Linked DNA regions of Rattus norvegicus. The protein of the gene in region 1 binds, or shares a complex with, the protein of each later gene. Links are inferred from orthologs where the notes say so. Each region holds a gene or a part of one and is shown on either strand. Other genes may lie near its edges.

Evidence for each region.
Region 2: the proteins of Kit (region 1) and Socs6 are in contact, whole or in part, in a crystal structure (PDB 2VIF), measured with the Homo sapiens proteins. The link is inferred for Rattus norvegicus from reciprocal best matches to the Homo sapiens genes KIT and SOCS6. Residues at the interface, in NP_000213.1 of Homo sapiens: Asn566, Asn567, Tyr568, Val569, Tyr570, Ile571, Asp572, Pro573, Thr574; in NP_004223.2 of Homo sapiens: Arg391, Glu395, Arg409, Asp410, Ser411, Ser412, Asp413, Ser419, Phe422, Thr428, Leu429, His430, Thr431, Arg432, Phe442, Tyr443, Glu444, Gln445, Val448, His460, Asp464, Ala469, Phe470, Cys471, Tyr472, Ser473, Arg474, Ser475, Arg476, Thr482.

The regions. Positions count from the first base shown.
Region 1 is NC_086032.1:32,975,866-32,980,150, forward strand, and holds the start of Kit (mast/stem cell growth factor receptor Kit precursor), read right to left. Parts: upstream 2,948-4,285; 5' UTR 2,904-2,947; coding exon 2,837-2,903; intron 1-2,836. UniProt on the Homo sapiens protein: Tyrosine-protein kinase that acts as a cell-surface receptor for the cytokine KITLG/SCF and plays an essential role in the regulation of cell survival and proliferation, hematopoiesis, stem cell maintenance, gametogenesis, mast cell development, migration and function, and in melanogenesis.
Region 2 is NC_086036.1:84,404,780-84,409,071, reverse strand, and holds the start of Socs6 (suppressor of cytokine signaling 6), read left to right. Parts: upstream 1-1,272; 5' UTR 1,273-1,398; intron 1,399-1,548; exon of another isoform or gene 1,549-1,621; intron 1,622-4,292. UniProt on the Homo sapiens protein: SOCS family proteins form part of a classical negative feedback system that regulates cytokine signal transduction.

The DNA.
Region 1 (4,285 bases):
ATCTTCCTGTCCCCCCACCAAAACCCTCATATGATAGTCTCGAATACCCCATTCAAGCTATACAGCAGTGAACCGTCCTGGCAAATTATCCCTCAAATTGAGAAGACTAACCAAAACATCCTAAAACAGGCAGCCTGAAGCCATCTTACCCAGATGAGCAGTCCTGGACCCCCAAAACCTCCAACAGGGCTGGACTTATTGTAACCACTCATTAAATACTTTTGTAAGTATCTTACTTTACAACAGACTCTGTATAAGGGATGCACATGGAGCTGAGCTCGGCTTCCTTCGCTGGCTGTTTTGGCCAAGTGACTTATCCTCCAATTGGAAAACAGTAGAGGAGAGGGAATAGACGCTGTTGTGGTCCAACCTCCTGTGCCCCCTGAGTACAGAAATGGCAGGCAAAGCTCTCAGTTCGAGGCCTGGCAGGCATTTGCTGATTGTGAAGCCCCACATATGCACAAAGCACATCCATGATATAATATGGAAAGCACACTAGAAAGCGTGTTGCACAAGCACGGCAGGCATGCCATTTATAACGTCATAGGAAAAAGGAATGTGTGGATGGGTGGGGAAAGCCCGGAATGGGGGAGAAGTTTAACTATTAGGGTCTATCTCTTCACACGGAACTATCAGATTATTTCCAGCAGGATCATAAACCAGAATGCCAGGTGCATGAATGACTAGAGGCTTGCACCTGCAGGAACAGGGGGACGTCTGATTCACTGTTCTAGGGCCATCCTGTTGAGCCATCCTGTTGAGCTGTAAATGCCCTGGAAGGAGGGGTAACTGCAAAGCAGGCACATGTTAGCCCTCCAAAGGCTACAACATAAACAAAAATACAAACTGCTTCCCGCTAAACCTAAGCCGGGAGCAAAACAGTAAAAAAAACACACACACACACACACACACACACACACACACACACCCCAAATGGCCCTTAGACAAGAAAGCAGCTTTCTGAAATTCTGAACTCCCCCTGATCCTTCATGATGCAAATGTTTTCAAGTACCTTCAGGGAAACCCAAGCCCCCCACCCACTCCCAATTTAAATGACCGCCCAAGGGCACACAACCAGGGAGGCAAAGAAGGTTAGAAACTGGGGTAGAGAAGGGAATTACAAACACACTGTGTGCCAGGAATCAGACCTTCAAATTCCCTTTGCCAAAAAGTTACTGGCCAGAGCACACTAACCAGGGGGAAAATGCACACCACTGACCCGTTTCTGTTTTCAAAAGGGAACTGTGATCTTTGTGGTGCTCCACCTTGGTCTAAAGCAGAACAAGGTGGAAAACACAAAGATCACTGGGGTCATTTTCAGCTAACTGGTCAAATACACCTAGGAATCTGAACACTCATTTGTGACCCCCCATGACCCCTCCCCTAGTGCAGAGGTTCCGTTGCAAGGCTTCCCCCACAGGAAAGCCCTCTCCCGGCCTTTCAAAAGCATTGAGGGAATGAGATCAGGAAAACGCAACCGCCAAACGGTAGGCTCAAAACAGGTCACAGAGATGCTGGCCATCTGACGCTTTACTCCAGCGCGCAGATTGTTCTCTAGTGCATCAGGGTAACCTTAAAAGGTTCCTGGGTTTTGTTTTGAAAATGACCTGGGAGAGAGTAAGCTTTCCGGGACTAATCAGGCAACCTGCACAGGCAGTGCACCAGCGACACCTGGCAAAAAGGGGCAGGGCTGAGGAGCTCCAGGAGCCTCAAGATCTGGAGACCCAAGTTACCCTCCAGAGGTAACAAGGTTTTCAGAACAGAAACAAATGCTATTTGCAGGACGCTTACTCTCACCCCTCACCCCCACCACCTAGCCTCCCTAGGCAGCCCTGAGTATGGCTATCACGAGGGAGAGGGTGTCAGGATCTCGGGATCCCCCGCAAAAAAGGCCACCTGCGATTACAAGGCACACACACTAAAACCAGAGGTTTCCAAAGCTGGAGCGGGCTGACTTGGTCCTGCTGCAGCCCGCACGAGGTGGCAAGAACAGCTGCGTCCCCGCACGCAGTCGCTGCTTCCCAGAAGCTGGCAGCCAACGTAGGCTACAGCAGCTCCCTTGGCGCGTGGCAGCAATGAACACCGTGCGGCTGCAGAGAGGGGCGAGTCTCTAGCACGAGATTTACAAAAGGAAAAAGTCTGCAACCTAGCGGCTGCTCGCCACACGCCCGGCTCAAGTTGTCCCCATAGCCGCCACCTACAGGCTCGTGGGGTCCCGCCCCAGAGCCTCACGCCGCGTGCTCCCCGTGCAAAAAAACGGGGGGGAGGGGACAAGCAAGCCCGAGATTCGTCTCCACGGGTGGCGCCGCGCACGACGAGAGCGGCTGCGGTTGAGCCCCCAGCACTGTGCACAAAGAGCGCCCGAGCTGGGGAAGCAGCGGCCCCGAGAAAAGGCTCTCCAAGTTTGCCCAGCGTGCGTCCGGGGACCCGTGGGCTGGTCCTCCCGGGCGCCGGTCACCCACGCGCAACTTTTAACAAAAAGGGAGCCGTGGCAGCACCTCACTAGGAAAGAGGACGCTCTCCCTGCGAAGCCCGAGGCCGCGCTTAGTCGGCACAAAAGCATCACCAAACTCGCCCGCAGCCTGCAGCCGCTGTCCCGGCTCCCAGAAGACCCTCGGCCCCGGGTCTCCATTGCCTGGGCTGCGGTCTCCCAGCTCAGGTGAGCGAGGCGAGCCACCGGAGTCCAGCGTCCGCCCGCCACCTTCGCTGTAGCTGTAACACACAGGCTTGGGAAAAGCCAAAAGCTACCACTCTGGACGCACCCAGGTGGCACCCCTCCCGGACCCGGGCTGCGCCCACAGGGGGTGCAATCCTCCTGCCTGCCGCTCTTTCCCACCTGTCTGGCCACGGAGCAGGACCAACAGGACGCAGAGCAGATCCCAGGCGCCGCGAGCGCCTCTCATCGCGGTGGCTGCGCTAGACTCTGAGCTCCTCTCTCTGCTACAGCTCTCGCCCAAGTGCACGGAGCGCGGCAAAGCCGAGCCCCCAGAGCCACTAGCGGCGCGCGACAGCCCCTCCTCCAGCCCTCCTCCCAGCGCGTGGCCACGCCCCTCCCTTCTCCCGCCCGGGTCGCACTCCCTCCCGCTGCCTGGTGCCCGGGGCTCTCGGACTGGAATATGCTGATTCCAGGGGCGCTGTGCCCTCTAAGACCTGGAGCCCCCATAGGCCCTCCACCCAGAATCCTCTCCCTCCCAGCGCTCTCCCTCCGTCGGTGGTTCTTCAGCCCGAGGCGGCTGGCTGACCACGCAGGTGCTGCCCGCGCTTTGTGAAGCCAGGCGCCACGCGCGCATTAGGCACGGGCCAGCCACCTGGCAGGTGCTCTCTAGACAATAAAGGACAACCACAGGTCCCTCCAACACTCTCAGGAGCGGGGAGAATATACTCGGCTAATGATGGAGGTGTTACTAGTCGGGATTGCGGGGCGAAGGGATTAGGAAACTGGGTCCCCAACATTTCTTTCTGTTCCTGTTAGTAGAGGAGGACAAATCAGGCGGGCGTCCCTGACCTCGGTAAAAGACCGAGCCCACGTTTAAGTAATTTTTCACGCTCAGTTTCTCCACCTGCTGCGAAACCTGTAAGAATACAGCTGATTTCTATTGGCCAGCGTGGACCTCCACCCAACCAAGCTCCTGCTGAGACTTGTGGAAACTGGGCCAGTGGAGTAAGAAGAGGCTCCCGGTGAAGTAGTTAGCTTTGAAATAATGGTTTTTAAAGCCCATTTGCATTTGGGTGCCTTTTCTTTTGTGTTATTATTTTTATCTCACCCTCAATCTCCCCCCCGCCCCTCGCGCCCCTTTCCCCACCTCCCTCCGACTCTGGTCCGCCTTAGGGGCAAGAAAAAAGTAAAATAATTTTCTTTTAAAGTTTTTCTTTAATGTGTATGAGTGTTTTATTTACGTGAATGTGTGTGTGCCACGTGTGTAACTGGTGCCCAGGGAAGTCAGAAGAAGGATGTCAGATCCCCTGAAACTGGAATTACAGATGTTTGTGGATCACCTTGTGGGTTCCTGGAGCTCAATTAGTCTTAATTTTCTTGTTCTTAACTATTGACCTATCTCTCCAACTCCTAAAGTAATAATCTTAAGACAGTTTCTACCTAGGAACATTTTACAGTCACCGTGGCTATCTGTGAGTGGACAATAACAATCTGCTCTGGAAAGGTTCTTATAGTTTTGTATCCCAGTATCCGGGTTTACAGTTAACCTCATGAAGCAGAGAGAATAAACGTTTATTATTGTGGATCTTAAAGCACACCAGGATTGCACACTTAGTAGTTACTGTTTGA
Region 2 (4,292 bases), on another chromosome or scaffold:
AATCTGGTACACACAGCTCTTATTGCCATTGATGCCAGCAGTTTAATTTAACCCTGGGATTTAGGCATTTGTATTTCTGTCTTCATGAACAGTTGTCTTGGTTTGCTAGGAGAGATATAGAAGCAGAGACAGAAAGAGCCTGTAAGTCTAGAAGTTTTTCCCAAGGGGAATTCCTTGTTTTCCTTCTTGAGTTGCTGAAACTCACACTTGTAGAGACTTCCTTAAAAGGGGCGAGGTGGTGCCTTTCTATTTGGTACTTTTGTCTCAGAAAATGTTGCTCTAAGTATTTGGTTTATGGTCTGGTTGTGTATAGAATTTTAGGTACTATTTACTCAGGAGAAATATGTTATGTGGCACTGATGAATTAACCCTAAAATCTCACTGTGCTATAAAGGATGAAACTTGGCTTTTGCTTTTCTAGTTTTTGGAGGGATGGGTCCTTGTGACTTCTTTGGATCCGTCTGCTCTTCTGTAATTGCTGTCCTACCTCGGGCAAGTGGAGAGGATGGCAGGTCCAGAGTTCAGCATATGGTTGTGCAAGAATGCCAGGGACTGTGGAAGACTCAAGGAGAAAGAGCCTTTGAACTTTTGGGGTGACAAAGTTGGAGGTTTGAAAGCATTCCCCATCATCATATGCCTTTCACTGTAAAGAACTTGGGCCAGCTAACTCTGGTTTACAGCAGTTGTTTCTTCCTAGAATTTTTTTGTAGTTTTTGTTATATCTGCTTATACTAAAACCTCATAATGGTTTGTATCATTATTATTCTTTTATTCTTAAAATGTATAATTTCATTGATTTTTAAACTTATGCTTTCTAGGAAAGAGCTTAAGCCTTCATTTGTAATTTCTTCCCTCTCATTTTTTGTTTTGACTTCTCTGAAGTTTTGTTGTTCTTGTTGTTGTTTTGATTTTTCTTTTTTTGCAGTAGGAAGTCCTGGATTGATTTGTTTATTAATTATTTTTTATTTTCTCAGTTTTTCATGGCAGTCTGGGGGGGGGGTTGTTTTTGTTGTATTTAAATCTTTAATGGATTCTGGTTATCTAACCTTCCTGCACTGCCTGGACTTATTTCAGAGTTGTGATCTTTCTCAGGGGTGTGTCTTCTTGTCCTCCATTCTAGGAGGCTTGACTTGTGGTTATTTTTTCAGTGCTGGATCTAGGAAGTAGGCCTTGGCACAGGCGCACTTTCACTGAGCTACTGCGGGTGCCGCAGCTAAGGCTAGCCTAAGCCTTGTAACTGTTCCCAGTTGTCATACTTTTCTTTTGCTTTCAGGTTTTCATTTTGTCTGGGGAAATGGTAGCATGCTGGTCAGATTTTTGTCAACTGGACATAAGCTACAGTTATTTGGGAAGAGGAACTCTAAATTGAGAAAATGCCTCCATAAGATTTGTCTGTAGGTAAGTCTATAGTACATTTTCTTGATTAATGATTGATGTGGGAACAGTGACACTTCTGGGCAGGTGATCCTGGTTGATAGAAGAAAGTAGGCTGAACACGCCATAGGGAGCAAGCTAGTAAGCAGTATTCTTTCATGACTTTTGCTCCAGTTCCTGTTTTCAGGTTCCTGCCTTGAGTTCCTGACCTGACTCCGATGGACTGTGATCACAATGTGTAAGCCAGGTAACCCTTTGCCTCTCCAAATTGGTTTTAGTCATGGTGTCTTAAAGCACTAGAGACCCCAGCTAAGACAGGTAGCAATTAACTTGTATGCTCTTTCTTGGTCATGATGGGTTTTTGTTGCTGTTTGTTTTTTGAGACAATTTTGCTGTGTTGCCAAAGCTGGAGCTCACTGTGTTGTCTAGTTTAAGACCCTCTGTAGCTCCTCATTCTTATGCCTCAACCTCTCAAGTGATAGGATTGTAGGCCTGTACTACATACCCTGCTCAAGAACTTTATGGTTAATTAGGCCTTCAGAAAAACCAGCAATTAGCTGGCTTGTCTTCCCCACCCCTCTTTTTTTTTCTTGTGTTAGAGCTCAATCTCAGGCCTTAGTTTTCCATATAAGATAAGTAAGCACTTTGGGCTATATCTCCAGCCCAAAGCCAGATGATCTACAGTAGACAATATGAATAGCTTTAAGTTATATCATATTATTTACATTTATTTATTTTGGGGAGGTAGGTTTGTGTGCATGTGTGGAGATCAGACAGTAACTTATAGGAGTTGTTTTTCTCCTTTCACTATTTAGGTTCTGGGATTGAACTCAGATCATCAAGTGTGGCAGTATCAATACCCTTTACCTGCTTGTAGAGCCAACTCACTAGCCCATGATGGATAATTTTATTTTAGCTAGATTAGTTTACAAAACAATTAGTCTTTTTGTGAGATTGTTAATAGTTTTTGGTTAACAGGGCTGCATTGCTTAATTATTATTCTCGGAGATTTGATGGATAAAGTTTACCCTACCTCTTTGTACGTTTGATAGTAAGTCTTGTGTGAATTACTTTTTATATCTCATATTTGTTATTCTAAAATCTTACTTTTTTAAAGTTTTTCCCACTTATCTCCAGGTCCCATCATATCTGCCCTTTACCCTTGTAACTTTCCCCCCAAAATAAAACACACACGCAAAAGCATAGAAAGTTCATTGTAGAAGCTGTAGTGTGTCACAGTTGTCCCACAGTATATTTCTCTGTCTATATATCTTCACTTGCAAATGTTCATTGTAATGAGTCATTGGTCTGGTTTGAGATCTCTGGTTTCTGTGACACCATTAATATTGGATCCTGACTGAGACTTCCCTGTTATCCTCTTATTGCCCTATGTCATGGAGATCCTGAAATTTTGGATTAACAAGATTGGCCCTTTTATGTTTTCCCACCATTCACAGATGATAGAGTGAAATTCTTAATTCAAGTGTAATTTTGAAAATGCAATTGTTTTTTACCATAAGCTCATAACTTACAGCAGAGATTAAAAAAGCTAGTGTGTTTTTTATGCAAAAGCATTGAATAATAATTTCTTTTGGGATTGGAACTTCTGTGTTATGACCTACAGACTCTGAGAACAATCAAAGAAACTTTGTTACTCTTTAGTCATTATTTGTATGTTTGTGTTGTCTGTCAGAATCTGAGTTAAGCTTTCTTACTATAGTAGTTCAGTGCATCAAAGAGATTTTTATACATGAGCATGTTCTTAGAGAAATCACGTGATAGCATCATTCTGTTGTATTCTACCCAGAGTAAAAATGTAGATCTTCTTTGAGTTTTATGTAATTGTTCAATTTGTTTAAAACTCATCAAGAACTTAACCTACTTGATATCTTAACCAGAAAGGATACACTTATTTCATAGGCAGTGCAAGTGATGAGCATTTTGGAGAATGTATAATATTTCAGCTGAAACCATTCTGTTGACATTTATCAAACTGTTAGTTTCTTTTAATTTTCAACTGTCAGTTATGTCGATGTATCCATGAATTCTATTAAAACAATTACATTTACAACACAGACAGCGTTTATAATATTATATAACTTATCACTAAATATTACAATAGATCTTTTCAAAAAGTCAAGTATAATTGTGACTTAGTCAACAAAGTGGCTATGTGGGAACATGCCCAAGATTTCCTTTATCAGTGTTGCCCTTGTGCCACTGGTTTATTTTTAAGGAAGGAGTTTGTTGAAATGCTCAATAGTTATTTTATAGATGACCTGGATACAGAATGAAGGAGTGGGTATGTTTGTTACCATGTATTTTTAGTACACTAATTCTCCAACATAAAAACTGGTGTCTTCCACTATGCCACTGTTCAGAGTAGCACAGACCTCTCAGGTACAACAGTCCACAGACTTCTTCATACAGATGCCCTCTTGCTGATTCACCATAAGTCAGAGGTTCTCATAATGACCTCTTCTGATTAGATAATCTGTAGAACTCAGTAAAATACTTAGTTGATTGGTTTATTGTAAGGATTACATACCAGGAAAAGGTGAATAGAAAAGCTGCATGGGATGTGGTGTTGGGTATGATTTACAGCTCCTATGCCCCGTTAGCATGCCCTGCTCCCCCAGTACCTCTGTGTGCAGAAACTGGTGATCTATTAAGAGTGTTTTTAGCACCTGATCAATCTCTTGCTCTTTTTCTTTATTGACTAAGTTTTTATTCCCTTTACATCCTGATCATAGCCCTTCTCAATCTTCTAACTCTTCCCTTCCCTTCTGATGTGGGAGTAGGGCCAAAAGTTCCCACTCTGTAGTGTAGTCTAAGTCACAACTCTGCTGTGATGAAGAATTATTTGTCAGATCTAGGAAGATATTTTCATCACTCAGGAAACTGTAGGGTTTAGCTGT